Caenorhabditis elegans: one gene and its partners. The protein of the gene in region 1 purifies or fractionates together with the protein of each later gene. This does not show direct contact. Each region holds a gene or a part of one and is shown in the gene's direction. Other genes may lie near its edges.

The links.
Region 2: the proteins of gba-3 (region 1) and F59A6.12 fractionate together in Caenorhabditis elegans (co-fractionation; one large-scale study listed by BioGRID). This does not show direct contact.
Region 3: the proteins of gba-3 (region 1) and Y106G6E.4 fractionate together in Caenorhabditis elegans (co-fractionation; one large-scale study listed by BioGRID). This does not show direct contact.
Region 4: the proteins of gba-3 (region 1) and rexd-1 fractionate together in Caenorhabditis elegans (co-fractionation; one large-scale study listed by BioGRID). This does not show direct contact.

What each region holds. Positions count from the first base shown.
Region 1 is NC_003282.8:17,471,714-17,479,378, forward strand, and holds gba-3 (Putative glucosylceramidase 3), read left to right. Parts: upstream 1-1,620; coding exon 1,621-1,684; exon of another isoform or gene 1,685-1,709; intron 1,710-2,529; exon of another isoform or gene 2,530-2,734; coding exon of another isoform or gene 2,735-2,905; intron 2,906-3,399; coding exon of another isoform or gene 3,400-3,621; exon of another isoform or gene 3,622-3,771; coding exon of another isoform or gene 3,772-3,963; intron 3,964-4,005; coding exon of another isoform or gene 4,006-4,125; exon of another isoform or gene 4,126-4,130; intron 4,131-4,790; exon of another isoform or gene 4,791-4,811; intron 4,812-4,894; exon of another isoform or gene 4,895-4,943; coding exon of another isoform or gene 4,944-4,998; intron 4,999-5,395; coding exon 5,396-5,605; intron 5,606-5,671; coding exon 5,672-5,955; intron 5,956-6,004; coding exon 6,005-6,171; intron 6,172-6,219; coding exon 6,220-6,595; intron 6,596-6,686; coding exon of another isoform or gene 6,687-6,934; intron 6,935-7,141; coding exon 7,142-7,389; intron 7,390-7,430; coding exon 7,431-7,659; downstream 7,660-7,665. Other genes in the region: epic-1 (Ascaris suum EPICuticlin protein related), read right to left, coding at 150-201; F11E6.9 (TransThyretin-Related family domain), read right to left, coding at 2,735-2,905, 3,400-3,621; grl-24 (Ground-like domain-containing protein), read right to left, coding at 3,772-3,963, 4,006-4,125. UniProt on the Caenorhabditis elegans protein: Glucosylceramidase that catalyzes the hydrolysis of glucosylceramides into free ceramides and glucose. C.elegans contain specific sphingoid bases, which are unique or different in structure compared to the sphingoid bases found in other animals.
Region 2 is NC_003280.10:5,010,988-5,013,993, reverse strand, and holds F59A6.12 (C6 domain-containing protein), read left to right. Parts: upstream 1-1,915; 5' UTR 1,916-1,937; coding exon 1,938-1,995; intron 1,996-2,044; coding exon 2,045-2,220; intron 2,221-2,262; coding exon 2,263-2,406; 3' UTR 2,407-2,471; downstream 2,472-3,006. Other genes in the region: F59A6.3 (Sushi domain-containing protein), read right to left, coding at 2,815-2,852, 2,903-3,006.
Region 3 is NC_003279.8:10,221,134-10,224,668, reverse strand, and holds Y106G6E.4 (putative 5-formyltetrahydrofolate cyclo-ligase), read left to right. Parts: upstream 1-1,890; coding exon 1,891-2,130; intron 2,131-2,450; coding exon 2,451-2,583; intron 2,584-2,631; coding exon 2,632-2,879; 3' UTR 2,880-3,027; downstream 3,028-3,535. Other genes in the region: ced-12 (Cell death abnormality protein 12), read left to right, coding at 1-517, 564-914, 960-1,186, 1,238-1,475, 1,555-1,696. UniProt on the Caenorhabditis elegans protein: Contributes to tetrahydrofolate metabolism. Helps regulate carbon flow through the folate-dependent one-carbon metabolic network that supplies carbon for the biosynthesis of purines, thymidine and amino acids.
Region 4 is NC_003281.10:1,832,508-1,837,522, forward strand, and holds the start of rexd-1 (Minor tail protein), read left to right. Parts: upstream 1-2,005; 5' UTR 2,006-2,012; coding exon 2,013-2,099; intron 2,100-3,625; coding exon 3,626-3,699; intron 3,700-3,756; coding exon 3,757-3,859; intron 3,860-4,611; coding exon 4,612-4,753; intron 4,754-5,015. Other genes in the region: Y39A3CL.7 (uncharacterized protein), read left to right, coding at 883-1,074, 1,327-1,390.

The sequences.
Region 1 (7,665 bases):
AATTATAAAAATCAGTCAGAAGCCTAAAAAGTTTTAGTTTTGAGTTAATGAGTAATTAAACGAATAAATTTTATTTGATGAAAAATTTGTATTAAACAAATAATAACGGTTTACTATCTTCGGTTTAAAATAGTTTCAAGAAAACTCACTCGGATGGGCAAGAGCCAAGGCGATAAGACCAGCAACAATGATTATTCTCATGGTTACCTAAAAATATAAAGCTCTGATATGATTGTAACGAAGAGAAGAAATGCAAGGACTAAGAAAACTGTAAAGAAGAAGAAATGAATTTGCAGAAGAATTTATGTTTGTGCCGATTCAACCATGACCCGTCGTCCTTATAAACGGTTGGATGGTGCCGTCGTTGTCATCGCCAATTTCGTCGAGGCCGATCCCTCCCACCCGTTTTTGTTGGGGTTTCTGTTTCCTAGAACTTTTCTTCATGTCTTTCCTTCCTTTCTCGATTCTTCACTTTTTCAATCGCTTTTTGGGGTTGCCACCGATCACAGAAAAAGTTTACGGCGTTGCGCAACCGGTTTCAAAGGTCGAGATGAAGAGGTCAGGCGACGTAATAGCGAGAAAGATAATGAGACGCAAACACGGAACAGTAGTGGACATAGGAAAGACTGTTTACGTTTGTTTTTTCGAAACATCAGGTAGATCGGATAAAAAAACGATGCACCCGGAACTGTTTGAAAGCTGCTAAAATTTATTATGAAACTGTTCAAAGGAATTGTGAAACATGGTAACAAGGACAAAAACTACTTGAAACTCACTATAACCCCAAAACCTTATAACTTTCAACTACCTTTGAGGTGAAATAAGTTATATGGAGAAGAACTATATAAACCAAAGACTAAGTAACATCTGGTTTCTTTTGAAAAAACAGGAGTGAGAATTCATCGGCTTTTCAAACTTTCAAAGATCGTATTGATGTTTGTAAAAAATATTTTTTTTCGTTTTGAAGATATTCTGAATTACTTGTCGGTGAAGCACATGCAAATGTAGATATTTCCCTTTAAAGATAATATATTTTTTGACGCCAAATGCCACAAAAAATTTTAGCTGCAGAAGATTATATTGAAAAGACCATACATTAATCCGCCTTCATAATGGTTACTATCTTTACTGGTTATAAAGAAATCATTTTCCTAATTATAAATCATCAGCATCATGCGATTCTCATTTTAACATCATATAATATCACAACAACACAGACTAGAAGAAAAGAGTATAACAATTGTCAACAATTTTGTATTAGAGGTTTAAAACTGTTTTTACGATTTTTAAACTTGTTTATGTTATGCAAATAAAAAAAATTTCAATTAATAATTCATTCTTACACATTTTTCTAATATAAAACCACAGTACCATGATCAACCATTTTACAATTCCATCGTTTCTCTCTACTCAATCTTAAGTCAGCATCTGGTTTTTTTGTTTATCAATTTATCAGAATTTTTTTAACTTCTTATCTTAAATCAAAAAGTACATTTTGAAACAAATTCAGTCTGAACCAATCTCTATTTCTTCAAATTTCATTTACTTAACTTCAATCTTTTACAGTTTTGCACTTGTTTGTTCTTCTTTTTCAATTTCATTTTCATCTCAAGAAGATGGATGGCCTTCTTCAGTGTTCGTTCCAGTAAAATAGTATTCGGACTTGAGAGGTCTGAAGAAAAAGGTTTGTGATCATTGAGTGATTTTTTTTTGTGGTTTTCCATCCAATTTTCATTTGCCAATGTCCTAAACTGTTTATGATTCCAAGGTCAATTTTGATCTATTCCCGATTAAAATTTTCGGGCCATCGAAAACCAAAAGAAATCGGCGAACTGAACTGTTTTCTAAAAAGGAAGAAGCGATATGAAGATATGTTAGTCTCAATAATTGATAAGATTAAATCATCAACAAAAAAAGTCAAATAGTATATCTACGATGACGTTTCCATATATAGATTCTTGCTTAAAATTTGACAAAACCAGTGGAGTGAACTCATATTGGTAACCTGGAATAGTGTGCTCAATTATGATACTTGACAGATGAATCAATTTCGATATTTAAAAAAAAATATGTATAGGTTTATTTGGATTTGAAAATATTAGATTTTTCAAGTTTTTTTACACTGTTTTATGCCATTAAAAAAATCAAATATCACACCACCTCTGCGACACAGAAGTGTTAACAAAATTTGAGGTTTTCCTAAAATTTTGAAAGGTCATTTAAATTTTTTTACAGATTTTTCAATATGTTTCGGGAGAATTTTCGTTTTTCCGATGCCATTTTGATTGAAGTAATCAATATAATTTAACTTTCCCAGCTTTACGGCTAATGAATACTCATTTTTGTTTTTTTTTTCTATTTTGAAATACTGCAGAGCCAAGAGTTGATTGTTTTTGGTTTCTAACCAGTTCCATTTCAACTTTTTTTCTTTTTTCTGCCATTAAAAAATAACTGTCACAATCACCCACTCTGCCGACAATTAAAATACCAATTGGTTTCGCTTTTTGGGTCATGTGGAAACATATTGGAAGTTTCGAGATCATTTATTACACAAAACTTTTTTTTGAGGGGCGCCCAATGTTGAACGTGAAAAGCAATTAAGAAGAGACTGTGCGGAAAAAAAAGACGGAACGGAAAGAAGATAGATAGTAATTCGATTTAAAGTTCAATTTATATACTTTTTGAATCATAAAGAACGGTTTAAAATAAGAATATGATAACTTGATGCTTGAAATCATTTTCCAAGACGGCACTGACCCCAGGAACATAGCATTCCTTCGGATCTAACAGCAGCTGGTCCATCTTTCGGGAATACTTTATAGTATATTGTGCCGCCCATCCCTTCCAGATGAGCCGACGTTTGTCCAACTGGATTTACTCCTTTCTTAGGAAACTGTTCCCACGACTGAAAAGTTAAAATTGGCATGATAAAAACATATTTCACATTTCACGCAACTGTTCTAAAAAATCGTCAAGTCAAAAATTCATGATTGATCTATTATATGTGTACATTTTTCTTTTTTCTTCAACTTTTTCCACGTCTCCTCGCGAGCGTAAATAAATTAAATTAAATAACACTGTAACGTGTTATTTTTTCTTGCATATTGTTTGTTACTGAAGTGTAAAAAAAACTGACTATGAGACAACAACTGCTGTGGTATAATAACTAAACAGAAAAATTTGTAAAATACAGAAAAAAAAATGACGAAAATTGAACGTAAAAGGAAGTATATGTAGTAAGTGTTTTTGTCGTAGAGATATATAATTTTCCAACCCGCGAAAATTTTCATAAAGGAGAATTGAATTTTTTTTTGATAATTTTTGCGGATTTGATAATTTTTTCTTGATAATTCGGCAATTGCCGCCCACCCCATATACACTAGCGGGCATTAAACTTACTTTTAAAATTGTTGGAGACAAGTTGCATATAGTTCCAGTGATTGTAAAATTCTTTGTTTCCCCATACTTCGAAAATTTAAAAATTTCGGAATCCGTTTTGTTGAACCAGGTGAACTGGGCCCATACATCCCTATCTGTTTCCGATCTTACTTGAGCGTTGAATTTGCAACAATCCATAATAACAAAAACAGAAATGAATGAAAAAATTCGCAAAATTTTCATCTTAAAGGTGCGTGGTATAAGTCAAAATTGGTGTGAATGACGAGAAACAGAAACGAATAAATATATAGGTTTGTAGGTCATAATGATATCACATGTACGGAAACAATGATAAAATACATCAAAATCAAAGATTAAATGTAAATTTAGTAGCTAAAAGACAATTGCATGACACCTGAAATTTGAAACTCTAACAGAACAGTATCTGTGATTTGTGAAATCAGGAAATTGGAAGTTTCGATCGGTACAAATACATCCCATACTTCTTGCCAAAGGAAACACATTTTGCATTGTGTCCATTGAAGTTCTTCGTATTATTACCGGATCGTCAGTCTTTTTGGAGGCCTAAGAATACGGAATAATTATTTTAAAACTGTTTCAACCCACCTTTTTTATAATATCATACAAAATAACGTCATTACAACGTTCACCTTCAAAATTATCATCTTGGCATGATGCCAGAGTGAAAAACATGACAAGTACTAACAATAATAATAAAGAAGACATATTAACTTTAAATGACCTCTGTTCCTGGAGACCTTTTTACTTTTATAGGTAGTTTAATTGGTTGCAGTACCAATTTTTGTTTTTATTAGTTCACGGGAAAGTATTATTTTCAGCTAAACGTGTTTTTCAAGTGTTATTTTATGAAAAAACATTTGTGTGTCACGTCCAAATTGATACGATTAGTTGTAAAAACTGTTGGTTTATTATTAAAAAATAAAGGGTTAATTGTAAACATTCATCGATTCTTTAATAGTATTCTATCGATTTAAAAAAATGATTCAACCAAAGAATGTCTGAAATAAGTTTGAATTCCTGACTATGAGTAAATGAATTACCAGTTGATTTTTTTCCAGTTGAAGCATCTTTTTTTTTGATTTTTAGACACTTTTCAATAAACCTTGATACTTAATACTAACAAACATCGTTGAAACTTAAAACTTTCACTATAAATTGATAGTTTTTCTTCTTATTTAAAATTTTTGCAGTCTCGGAAAATTTGAAATAGGTTGTTAAAACCATGTAACAGAGCAAAAACAAAAAAAACCGTATAATATAATCGGAATTGAAATTTTTTATGAAAAGTTTAATAAATCATAGGAACATTGTGAAATACACTTTTACAGTTATAATTTATTAATATAATCCGTTTCCTATCAGAGCTAAGTTTATAATTTTGTTACTATAACATGTTAAACATTGCCCCAAACACAAGAAAAGTTACACAATGGTCATCTTGGCCAAGAAATTGATAAGATAAATCATGGGAAGTAAAGAGCAACTGTTCATTCGAGCCCTGCAGTCGTCAGTAGTTTCCAATAATGTCAAGATGGAAGGTCGTTATTTTGTGCCTATTAAGTTTTATGTTTGAAATCGGTATGTTTATATTTGGTTGATTTACAATCAGCGTTTTTTTTCTGTTTGAATGAAAAATGTGAGAAATTCATGAAAGAAAATCTCTAGTTTATTAAAAAAACTAGATCATAAAAAAATTTAAAAACAGGTTTCACTTGGACTATTCTTTAAAAAAAACGTTCTAAGGCTAAATTGCTTTGGATTAAATTTAAAAAAAAACCCACACTGACTAAAAATTGCATTCCCTAATGAGACTTCATAATAAGTTTTCGGTTTTAATGGCTCCAAAAAATCATAGATAAATTTTTGAGAAGTCTTTTAATGATATTCGGTTTTAGGTGTGGGGAGGTAGTTTTGAGTTTCCCAAACAATGAATAAAGTGAGAATGATTTACCGTTCAGTATTAATATTCTTTTAGGTCATGCTTCTTTTCAATGCAACCCAAAAACCTATGACGGCGCGTTTCTCAACATTGTTTGTGTTTGCAACGCAACGTTTTGCGATGAAATTGAGCCAATAGGAGAGATAGCTGAAGGGAAGGCAATTGTTTATAGATCAAGTTTGGACGGCGATAGATTGAAACGCATGAGTATGAAAATGAAAGAGAAATTGAGAAAAAATGAATCAGGTAAGAATACTTATCTAACACATTTCCGAGGTGCAAATCATCCTCCAATTATTAAATGTTTTATAGTTAATGTGACAATTACAATAGATGCCAGTGAAAGATTTCAAAATATTTTTGGTTTTGGAGGAGCATTTACTGATTCTGCCGGCGATCAATTTGTTTCCTTATCGGAGACACTTCAAAATTATATCGTTGATTCATATTTTGGAAAAAATGGATTAGAATATAATATAGGAAGAGTTCCAATAGCCAGTTGTGATTTTTCTACTCATGAATATAGCTATGATGACGTTCATGATGATTTTGAATTAAAACATTTTGCATTACCTGATGAAGATTTAAAACTAAAGGTAATTTTAATAAACGGCAAAACTTCAAAAAAAAGACTGAAACTTTCAGATTCCATTTATCAAGAAAGCAATTGAAAAAACTGAAGGAAACATTCAATTATTTGCCAGTCCATGGTCAGCTCCTGGATGGATGAAAGTTACTGGACGCATGAGGGGCGGAGGAGCTATGAGAAATGATAAGCGTGTTTATCAAGCGTACGCTGATTATTTTTTTAAGTAAGTTTTTGTGTTTATTCGAAAACACTGAATTATTATTTTTAAAAGATTTTTCGAAGCCTATTCATCTCATGCAATTACCTTTTGGGGACTAACAATTCAAAATGAGCCATCAACAGGAGCTGACATGGCATGGAGATGGCAGACTATGAATTATACAGCAGAAACGATGCGAGATTTTCTAAAAAAATATCTTGGCCCAAAACTGAAAGAAAATAAACTAACGGAAACTTTGAAAGTTATGGTTTTGGATGATGGAAGAGGATTACTCCCTGGATGGGCTGACACTATTTTCAATGACCCGGAAGCAACCAAATATGCAGATGGTGTAGCAGTTCACTGGTATGGTAACTTGTATTCTCCTGCTGTTCTTCTTGATATTACTCAAAGGCATCATCCAACCAAATTTATTTTTGGAACCGAGGTAAGATTGAATACCATGAATATGGTTATTCATGAAAGTATTGATGCAAAAAAAAATGACTGTACATTCTTAGTTTTCAAGTTTTCTGCAGGCATGCGCGGGTTACGCTATTCATCATGGCCCATTAATGGGTGACTGGTTTACGGCAGAAAATTATGCATCTGATATTATCAGTGACTTAAACCACCACTTTACTGGATGGACCGATTGGAACTTATGTCTGGACGACATGGGCGGCCCGACTTGGGTTGATAACTTTGTTGATTCTCCAATTATTGTAAATCGTACAGGGCAAGAGTTCTACAAACAACCAATGTTCTATGCAATGGGACATTTTAGGTATGTTAAGATGTTATGCTGCCATGATTTGATGATTACAAATTATTATAATCAAACTTAATACAAAAAGTGTCTAATCCAAATGCCCGTTGCACTTGAACCTTGGTTTTTGTAAAACTCATCAGCACCTAGCTTTGCTTGTTATCAGCGCATATTTAGTTCAAACTCAGACATCCTGGAGAGTATATTTCAGCCAGCTTGTTTCAGGCATGTGCTGGCTACTTTGGACATCATGGTCCAATAATGGGAGACTGGTTCCGCGCAGAAAGTTATGCAGATGATATCATCACTGATCTTAATCATCACGTTACGGGATGGACTGACTGGAATCTTTGCCTTGATGAAACTGGTGGGCCAAATTGGGCCTACAATGTTGTAGATTCCCCAATCATTGTCAACCGAACTGCTCAAGAGTTTTACAAACAACCAATGTTCTATGCATTGGGCCACTTTAGGTTTATTAACCTTATGATTCTGAAAACATACTTTTTTTTAGTAAATTCCTTCCACGTGGATCTACTCGTGTGTTCACAAAGATCGAGGGAAACCTGGCTGTCTCAGCTACAAGTGTTGTGATTGAAGGTGGAAGACGAGCTACAGTTATTTTATCAAAAGCGTCCAACTCATTATTGACACGTATAGTTGACAGTTCAACAGGATTCTCTATTGTGCTGAATTTGCCCCCAAGATCCATTCATACAGTGATTTGGAAGAAAAGAAAATAATCTACA
Region 2 (3,006 bases), on another chromosome or scaffold:
AACATTTTTTACTGAAAAAAAGGAAATTGGTTAGCCAACTTAGCAGGTGGAAGATGTTGGGGAAATATATAAGACCCTGAAAATAAAATCACCTGAAATCTTCAAAAGTTAAATTGAATCAAAAATTGAGTTTTTATTTTTGGTTATTTTTTTGCTGAGAATTTCGTTGAATATCATGGTAAGGATTTGGATTTTGAAAATTCAAAATGTGTTATCAACCCAAAGATCAGTTCCTGAAAAAAGGAGATGTTTGAAAAACAAACGTTTACAAACAGGAAAAAGGTCATATTAATATCCGATTAAATTTTTGCCTTGAACTTTAAAACTACTTTGGAACTTATAACTAAACTTCCGTCAAATTGAAGATATGAAATGAGATGCTTTCTTGTCGGAATATTCAAAAAATTTGAAAAATATCTAGTGAAACATTTTTTAGAGATTTTTGATAGGGCCGAACAGAGTAAGATGGGTTTTTCATGTTTTTTCATGCATAGTTATGCTGAAGCCAAAGACCTGTGCGGCAATAGATTAAAAATATATTTTCAAAATCATTCCTAAAATTTAACTCTTTCACGGATTTTAAAAATCATTAAATTAATTTATTAACTTTCTGAACTTTATGTGACGTGGCTATTGTAAAGATCTGGGACAAAGATAAGAGAGAAATTTGCTATAAATTGAGCAGAGTTTACCATAATCTTCACTGTAAGTTTCCACACTCTACAAAGAAGTCGCCAGTGCCCAATCCGTCCCACCAGGAGATATCCAGACCCAGCCGGGTACGAAGATCGTCTTCAATGCACCATACGATGACAAGCACACCTACCACATCAAGGTGATCAACTCCTCGGCTCGCCGTATTGGATACGGTATCAAGACCACCAATATGAAGAGACTTGGAGTTGATCCACCATGTGGAGTTTTGGACCCAAAGGAAGCAGTCCTTCTTGCTGTTTCCTGTGATGCCTTCGCCTTTGGACAGTAGGACACTAACAACGACCGTATTACTGTTGAGTGGACCAACACCCCGGATGGAGCTGCAAAGCAATTCCGCCGTGAATGGTTCCAAGGAGACGGTATGGTTCGTCGCAAGAACCTTCCAATTGAGTACAACCCATAGAGCCCTCTTCGACCTTGCTCAATAAATGAATTTTGAAAGCTCGTTGTTTTTTCTCTTGTTAAAAATGTTTAGGTTTAAAAGTGCACCAAATTTGGTGGAGGTAGAGGTCCACTCCCAACCGAGTTCAACCCAAAGAAGGCTTGATAAGAAAACCCTCGAGTACAATCCATAGAGCCCTGCTTGATCTTATTTAATGAATGAATTTTGCAAGTTTCATTCTTTTGCTCTCTTCAAAATTTCAGCTTTTAAAACGTTTTCAAATGGTTTACATTTAACCCACAAGAGGCCGCTTGATATCTCTTCTCTGTTCATTGGCAAAGGCATAATACAATGACTTGAATCCTCTTTGTCTAAACTTGGTATATCCGATTGTGTGTTGGAAACGAGGTGTGGTCGGTTTGTTATGTATGACTTACGACCACTGGACGCAAAAGGTTTTATAATGCTCACCGATTTGCAGCAGCAGGTGCGGCGAGATTTCCTTCAAATTCATGATATGGAAAAATGCATTCCGATTAATTACTTGTATGATTTCGCAAAAAAATATGCTTACAGTAAAGAGCACTTGTATAAACAGAACTCCAATTTTGTTTTGAGGAAAGTTTGAATTTATGTATGTTTTAAAAATTTTCAGTATGGAAAGTTCAACTTTGTTTTTCCGTTGAATTTCTGTTCAATCTGTTCGTTTCAATAATTTTCATTTGAACACGATTAGTCATCGCTGTGCGTCAGCTTTTTTTGTTTCAAATTCCATAATAGAATGTGTTCAAATAGATGCTATAAAACCAAAATTTTGAAGAAAATTCACTGCAAAAACATGAATTATTTATTCGCTTTGGTTCTGTTACCACTTCCTGTTTCAATTTTGGGAAAAAGTAGGAAACATAAAAACATTTTTAATTTAACTATATCTATTAGTTCCAGAATGTTGCCAATTCCCGGCTTATTCATTTTCCGCTATGACAAATGTTACAAAAGAAGACTTTAAATGTTCTGAACCAGTTTCAGTGCTTTGTCAAATTGACACTAATGGGAGTGGATATGTTGCAGTTGGAATTTCTGGAAATTTAACGGAACAGGCAGATACAAAGCCTTTAGTCGTGAGAAAACTTTTTTGAATTTTAAAAATATACTTTTTCGAGATCAAAAAAGGTTCATCTTCAATCTCGGCGTCTCTTGTATGCGACACTTCTTCTCAAATGTGGAAAGTTGATAAGAAATCCGATAAATATGACAATATTGGTTGTATCATGAGATCTACTGGCGGAGTTTGGATTGTTTATTGAGTATTTGGAATAAAATATATTTTTCTTTCAAAAATAGGAAAATGAGTAATAAAATAAATACTAAACTTCACAGTACATTCATTTAAAAAAAAATATTTTTCCCAAGTTTTGACTGAAATTTATGAAGAAAAAACCATTAATTGGAACCGAAATGCATAATGATTGTGTCTGAATACCCTAAAAGATCACATTTAAACATTTTTCAGAATATTTTGAACAACAAAAGTGCACTACAAGTTACTTGCCTTTAAGTTGACCTACGCCTCTAAAATTAGGCGTTTCGGTGCCTAAGCTAAATAAATATTTTACCGATGTATTCAATATATTCACAAACTTTAATTGTCAAGTTTCTCAGAGTAACACAAATTAATTTATTTCCGGACATAGATTTAAAATTTTAACAAATCATTAAAGTCTTGTTGGCAATTTTAGTTCACTCTTTCCATCTGAAAAAGTCACACATTTGTTTTTAAACAATTTATACTTCAAAACTTACAAATACAATTCTCTGGTGATCCTGCCCATTTTCCTGTTTTCAAGCACTTATAGATCTTCACAGGTTGCAGTGCAATTTCAAAAACATAAGATTGCGGGCAAACT
Region 3 (3,535 bases), on another chromosome or scaffold:
ATTGGATTCTCGAAGAAGTTCCAATAGAGACTCTCATTCGACACGTTGAAAAATCAGATGAACGAATTGCTCTTTGTGCACTTTCACTAATGAATTCAATGATAAGAAGATGTCCTGATGATGAAAAACGATTTGAACTTATTAAATCTTTAGAAGTCGTTCCATTCCGTAATGCTGTACACAGTTCTCTTCTACGTGGTGGTGGTGGTGTTCGAAATCTGAATGCTATTGAACAACTTGTTGAGGTTCAAAGGAGTCTGATTAGTGCATATGAAACTTCACCTCCTACTGATGCTGAAGTTCAGAAAATTCTTGATATTGAATCCAGTGAGGATGTTTCCGAGGAGATCAGAGAAATGTGGAAATCACAAATTGGGGAACACCGATGTGGACGGTTGGCTGCAATTTCGATGGTTCAATTTGCAGAAAAAAGTCCGCAAGATCTGAGAATGCTAATTTCGGAGAATACAATGAGGATTGAAGGAGGAAAATGGCAACTGATTCCAATGTGGATGAGGTTTTTTTGCAAACGTAAAGATGTTCTGATGATTTTTTAAATTCAGGTGCTGTGACATTGCCGCAGAATTGTTCAGAGTAATACCTGGTCGTGATGAGTTGGATCGTTTGATTGTAGTTCTCTTTTCCACGGAGACTCCATTTCCAGCTGTATTCGCATGTATTGTACACCTTTTCCATCGAACATGGCGTGAGATGCAGGCAAAAGGAGGTGAAATGGAGAAAGTTGCGTGTGTTGTACTGGAACAGTTACGGCATGTGCTGAAAAGACGGGAAATACAAGATGTAGAAGAACTATCTGCGGATTTGGAGACTTTTTCGTATAGGGCAATGCAAGAAATTTGGAGAGAGGAACAATTGGGAAAGGAAAATATTCAATTACATAGTGAAGCTGTGATGTAAGTCTGAAAATTCCAATAACTTATTCGTATACATATTTTCAGACAACTAAAATCGAAATTGCGGCCAAAAATGGAGGAATTGGTTCGAATAAATCATCTAAACTATTTGAAGTTAGGCGCCGTTTTTCGAAAACCACAGAAAAGTAAATCCCTCGCAAAGCTCGCCTTCTGGCATTGGAAGCTCGATGCATCGGAGAAAATGCTCACTATAACTGGATGTGATGGTGAGAACTATGTGGAAGGTGTGCAGAGAGATGATATTCGGCAAGGTTGGGGGAATATTGAATTAGTTCTCAAATAATAAATTAATTTATTTTCAGTTTGGATCAAAGATATTGCTGATGTAACAAATAATGATGAGATTGATAGAAAAGCAAGCTCATCTCGATTCACTTCTTCTCCATCTACACAAATGTTAAGAGGGATTCGTGTACAATTAAAAACAACAAATGATATGAAAGAAGGCGAAGTTTTAATGGCATTGACATCCGATGAAACTCAATCTGTTATATGGCTTGAAGGTCTTGCTGAATTGATTGGGAGCAAGGCAGTTAAAAGGTATCTAGACATTGGTTACTGTAGTTACAGTAACCTGAAGAATAGGAAGCCCCGAAAATACCAATTGAAATATTTTCAGTGAAACCGATGCAATGGTTGAACGAATGCTGAAAATGGAGCTACGAGTTCGCCTTCTCAATGTGAAACTCACGAACCCCGAGGAGAAACCAGAAATTCCACCGATCCCTGACGATATCAAAAGCTTTATTTCAAAGTTTTAATCATATTCAAGCTTTATCATTCTTACGTGCATTTTACCATATTGAAAGGCAAAACATTTCCATGTGCATAATAAATTTTGTAATTTATGCCTATTACTGTGTATTTAACTTAATTTGAATAACGAGCCATTAACTACAGGCCACTAACAGTTTTCTGAATCTCTTGAAAACAAATTTTTGACCAACATTTTCAGATGAGTGCTATAAAAGAGGTAAAATCAGAGCTCAGGCAGTTTATGAAGACATTGCTCGGAAAAATTTCGAAAGAAGAAACTCAACGTCAAACAGAGGCGGTTTTTGAAAAAATAATTGAATCGAAATGGTTTCAAGAGAGCAAGAGATTGTCAGTTTATGTTAGTACATCGGGAGAAATACAAACTGATTCGATTATTCAAAAAGCGTTGGAAATGGGAAAAGAAGTTTTCATTCCACAGGTAAAATTTATTTTGAAACAGATGCGCAATAGATGTTAAGATGTAGGCATGTAGGTAGGCACATAGGCAGGCAGAAATAAAGCAGGTAGGCCGACAAGAAGTAGGCAGATATGAGCTATGAATAAAGGCAGGCAGGCACGTAGCCAGGCAGAACTAAGGCACTTGCGAGGTAGGCGTAAAGTAGGCCCCTAGACATGAAGGCTGTAATCGTTTGTAGTAGGCAGGCAATTAGTACCTAGGCAGATATTATATATGAATCCAGGGAGACAGGCACGTACAGCAAGTATAATTTATTGAAGTCACAAATGTAAAAATTTCAGTTCACGAAGGGCTCAACTGCAATGGATATGGTTCGAGTTCCGGATCAAACTGCTTTTGACAATCTTCCTTCAACACTTTGGGGAATCAGACAGCCAGAACCGAAATGGAAATGGCAAAGCTATCATGAAACAGGTGTGACTGCTTTTTAATAATATAACTCCAATTTATAAGTACTTACAGGACCACTGGATTTGATCCTTGCACCCGGCGTTGCCTTCTCACCATATGGACTTCGTTGTGGTCATGGAAAAGGATATTACGATCGCTTCTTCTCCACTCATCACAAACATTTTCCAGAAAACTCCCCAAAAAAGATAGGATTGGCTCTTCGTGAGCAAATTATTGGTACAATTCCTATTTCTGAAACTGATGTTGAACTTGATGAGGTTATCTATGAAGGAGAAACTATTATTTTTGATACTATTTAAGGCTTCACACTCTAAATAATATTCCCGATTGTGATATTGAGATTTTTTTTTAAATTTCTCTCGCCAATTTATAAGTGATTTTTCAGACATTCCTCAAATGGTTTTGTGATACAATTTCTTGCATTTGTTAACTGAATAAACTTTTTTGAACTACAGTTATATATAATTTTTTCATAGATTATTCAGTCATTAGTTAGAAGCATTCTAGCCTTCCGAGGTGTTTCAATTTTAGGTCCCACCACGAAAACTTGTGGAGATGTTCTGAAATGCCCCATAGAACTGCATAGCATTGTCCCAAAAGCCTGTAAATATATCTGAAAACTTGCTCACACAAAACGAAAGGATTCAAAGGCCTGAAGACATTAATTAGCAAAAATTAGATACATTCAATGGTTTCACTAATATCACACAGTTCAGATAGACCGAGATGAGGACTGATGTAGTTAAATCGATATATGATAGAAGCCCTGTAATTTACATGAAGAGCAACTACACGAAACTGAACAAAAATATTCATTTAAAGTCAATACATAGTAATCATTGTTCACTCTCAAACTTGTTGAACACGAGGTCAATTTTGGTCTCCCGATCCGCACTGCAAATATTATTATTTCAAAAAGGTTATCATGATCAACATACCTTTGCTTTTTCTCCCT
Region 4 (5,015 bases), on another chromosome or scaffold:
GAAATTTTAAATTTCTCTGAAAAATTGGTGCATTTTAAGGGATTTTACGCAATTTTCCGAACTTTAAACCTAAAATTTCCGATTTTTGTGCAAAATATCGTAAAATATAGTGTTTTGGTGGTGTTTGCGTACTTTCGAGGCTACAGTACCCCCGGTTGTTCAAATTTTCGTTGAGTTTGGGGAAAATTTAGAAAATAATAGATTTAATGTCTAAAATTTCAAACTTTTTGAATTCCCAGCCAGCTAAATTTTTCCCAAAAAAATTGGAAAAATTTTAGGGATTTTACGAAAATTTGCAAGTTATTGCCTAAAACTGGCCGAAATTTACTTTTTTTCGGAATAATTGTAGAAATTTTGTGAATTTTGTGAAGTCAACACCGTTTTTTCCTAAAAAAATGCCAAAAATTTCCCGAAAATCCCCTCTCTGAGCATTTCCCCTGTGACTTGTGCGTTTCTCAGATTTTGGCATAAAAACTGCATTTATTCACATTTTCAGTCTTAAATTAGGCTGAAAATGTGAATAAATACCGTATTTCTGCCAACAATTTGACAATAGAGCACATTTGTCACTCGGAGATGCGGAAGCTATGCCCAAATTTTCATTTTTAAGCCAAAAATTTGGATTTTCACAAATTTTCAGTAGAAAATTCGAATTCTCCATCGATTTCTACCCTAGAACATCCTTCAATAGGCTTCTAGCTCGAATTTTGTTTTCTGGGGTACGGTAGCCCCAAAAGTACGCAAACACCGAGGGCCTCACGACAAAATGCACAACTTTCTTAATTCTTGCGGCTAAGCTCTGAAAAACAGGTTTTCGATGTAAAAAATGGCGAGAAACTCGATTTTTCACAAGAAAAACGCTGAAAATGTTGAAATTTTCAGATTTAATCACCGTAATCGATCTCCTCCATCACTTTCCTCTCGAACATCACGTCATCGGTCCCCGGAACGCCGGCGGGATAGATCACGATCCAGAAGTCTGACATATTCACCAATTGATCGAAAATCCCGAACAAATAGTGATAAATATGATAAGAAACGGGCGAAAAAGAGCAACAGACGGGATAGATCAAGGTTCGGTGATGAAAAATTTGAATTTTTTGAATATACCGCCAAAAAATATTCAAAAATTTGAATTTTTTGAATTTTCCGCCAAAAAATGATCAAAAATTTGAATTTTTGAATTTCCCGCCAAAAAATGATCAAAAATTTGAATTTTTGAATTTCCCGCCAAAAAATGATCAAAAATTTGAATTTTTGAATTTTCCGCCAAAAAATATCCAAAATTTAAATTTTCCGCCGAAAAAAAAACCGATATTTTTTCAGTTCTTCATCATCCGGTTCAACTTCTCCAATTCGACGCGAAAAACGCGAAAAATCCAGGAAATAAATGCATTTTTATTTATTTTTATATTTTTATTCAAATTTAATTTATTATTTTATTCGAAAAATCGATATTTTTTCTGAAAAAATCGATATTTTTCTGAAAAATCGATAATTTTCTGAAAAAAAAAATCGATATTTTTTCTGAAAAATCGATAATTTTCTAAAAAAAATCGAAATTTTTCTGAAAAATCGATAATTTTCTGAAAAAATCGATAATTTTCCAAAAAAAAAATCGATATTTTTTTTGAAAAATCGATATTTTTCCAAAAAAATCGATATTTTTCTGAAAAAATCGATAATTTTCTGAAAAAAATTGATAATTTTCTGAAAAAAATCGATATTTTCTGAAAAAATCGATAATTTTTCTGAAAAAATCGATAATTTTCTCTAAAAATCGATATTTTTCTGAAAAAATCGATAATTTCTGTGGTTTTCAATCAATACTTGTTTCAATTGTGCTTCTTTTTTTTGTAATTCAAAATTAAATTTTTTTTTCTCCGAATTTTTCCAATTTTTTCAGTTTTTTTTTGTTGTTGATTCTCCCTGACTTTGCAATATTTTTTTTTGTTTTACAAAATTATTGATTTTTTCAGAATTTTTTTAAGAAATTTTTTTTCAGCCGTACAATGCCACGTGGCATTGTGCTCACCAACAGTAAACCCGTCGAGGGAATGGTTTACCAAATGGCATTGGTTTTTGATCAAAATTATGAGGTAAAAAACCAGAAAATTCGCAAAATTTCGGTGTTTGCGTACTTTTGGAGCTACAGTACCCCCGAAATTCGAAGAAATTTGAGTGAAAATTTGAATTTCTTTGAAAAATTGGAGCATTTTGAGGAGTTTTGCGCAATTTTCCGGCCTGTAAACCGAAAATTGCCGATTTTTGTGCAAATTGTCGTGAAATCTAGTGTTTTTGTAGTGTTTGCGTACTTTTGGGGCTACAGTACCCCCGAAATTTGTAATTTGAGTGAAAAATCGATTTTTTTTTTTAATTTTTTGAGCATTTTCCTGATTTTTCAGAGGTTTTCCGACCTTTAAACCGAAAATTTCCGATTTTTGTGCAAATTGTCGTGAAATCCAGTGTTTTGGTGGTTTTTGCGTACTTCTGGGCCTGAGATTTTCAGTAAAAACTCGACTTTTTTTTTCGAAAATTGAAAATTTTGCATAATTTTATAATTTTTTTTCAGGAAAACTCGAAAACTAGACATTTTTACGATTTTTCAGTGCTAAATTCGAATTCAGAGCACCAATTTACCCCCATTTTGCATATTTTCACAAAATTTCGGAAAACTGCATTTTGTCGTGGGATGCTCGATGTTTGCGTACTTTTGGCGCTACCGTACCCCGGGAAATTCGAAATTTCGATTTTCCCGATTTTTTAGATATTTTACGCAATTTCCCGACCTTTAAACCGAAAATTTCCGATTTTTGTGCAAATTGTCGTAAAATCTAAAAAAAAATTTCGAAAATTTGCAAGTTTTAACCTAAAACTGCTGGAATTTACTGTTTTTTTCGAAATTATTGTAAAAATTTGGGAATTATCCTCTGAAAAATGGCTCAAAACCGAATTTTTGAGATTTCAAGCTAATTTTTCCGAAAAACTTTTGTTTTCCGAGGTTTTTAACTGGAATTTTGGAAATTTTTGGAAAAAAATACGATTTTTCATCAAAATTTCACGATTTTCGAATTTTTCGCGTTTTCCTAGGCTTCTAGCTCAAATTTGGATTTCCCGGGGTACTGTAGCGCCAAAAGTACGCAAACACCGAGCATCCCACGACAAAATGCACAGTTTTTTGAAAATTTGCGAAAATATGCAAAATAGGGGTAAATTGGTGCTCTGAATTCGAATTTAGCAGTGAAAAATCGTAAAAATTCCGAGTTTTCGAGTTTTTCTATAAAATTTGTAAAATTATATGCACAAATTTTCAATTTTTGAAAAAAAAAAGGTTTTCAGTTCGATTTTCGAATTCCCCAGCCAATTTTACCCCTAAATCGTGTTTTCCCAGCTTTCTATCGCGAAATTTCAATTTTCCGGGTTACTGTAGCCCCAAAAGTACGCAAACACCGAGGATCCCACGACAAATTACACAGTTTCTTAAAATCGAGCGAAACTGTGCAAAATAGGAGTAAAAAAGTGCTCTGAATGCGAATTTCGCAGTGAAAATGCACAAAAATGAGTAGTTTTCAGGCTTCTGGCCTAATTCTGGCCCGAAAAAAACGAAAATTTTCACGCTTTTCAGACCGTAAAGCAGTTTAAAATGATTCCAGTGGTTACACAACGCACAAAAACGAAACAAGTCTCAAATGTGTACAGGTAATCGGAAAAAAAACCGGAAAAAATCGATAATTAAGCGGAAAATGACATTTTCAGTGGAAATATGCGCCTCGAAAAATCAATGCAAATCGACGAGACTCTTGTATTCGGTCAAACAATTGACTGGGAACCAACTGATGATGAAGGAATGTCTGTTGAGGTGAAAATGGAAGAAATTCTGGATTTTTCAGTGAAAATTTGGAGAAAAACGAGTGAAAACCCGCGTTTTTGCGGTGAAAATTCGAAAAAAAAACCGAGTTTTTCGATTTTTTCACTGAAATTTTGGAAAAAATCTAAGAAAAATGACTAAAACTCATCAATTTCTATGAAATTCTGGATTTTTCAGTGAAAATCCCGTTTTTGCGGTGAAAATATCAGAAAAAAACAGTTTTTTTTGAATTTTTTGAATTTCCCGCCAAAAAAATATTCAAAAATTTGAATTTTCCGCTAAAAAATATTTAAAAATTTGAATTTTTTGAATTTTCCGCCAAAAAATATTCAAAATTTTGAATTTTTTGAATTTCCCGCCAAAAAATATTTAACAATTTGAATTTTTTGAATTTCCCGCCAAAAAATATTTAAAAATTTGAATTTTTTGAATTTTCCGCCAAATAATATTCAAAAATTCGCTTTTTTCACTGAAATTTTGAAAAAAGTCTTTTAAAAATTCGTGAAAAATTAAATTTTTCATTGAAAAACCTGAAAAACTACCAAATTTTTCCACTTTTTCGTCGAAAAATGACTAGACACTGAATAATTTTTACATTTTCCACTGAAAATTTGAAAAAAAATCCACGAAATTCCGAATTTTGATGCAAAAATCCGTTAAAAAACTGCAAATTTTTGCAAATTTCATGCAGAAAATTCGAAAAAATCCCCAATTTTCATCCTAAAATTCCATTTTTTTTGCAGATTGTGAGAAAATACAAACGAATCCGCCCGGCCTATGAATCTCGAATTTTCGACGGAGAAACACAGCTTCTACTGCCTGGAATTATGTCCAGAAATCGAGAAGTTCTTTGGATGTGTGATATTTGGCCACAACTCGAAATTAGTACGGGTTTTTCACTGAAAACCCGCCGCGAAAAATGGCTCAAATTCATGGATTTTTCAAAAAATCCCACTGAAAATTCAATTTCCCCCCAAAAAACCTCGAAAATTCGAATTCTCCACGTCTCCAGCTTTCAAATGACCCCTGACATATTCCATGCAATTGCCCATATTCCATGCAATTTGCCCCACCGACACAGCTGAAATCGGTGCTACAGTAACCCGCGTGGCGGGACCCGAAATTTTCAAATTGCGCGGAATATGGG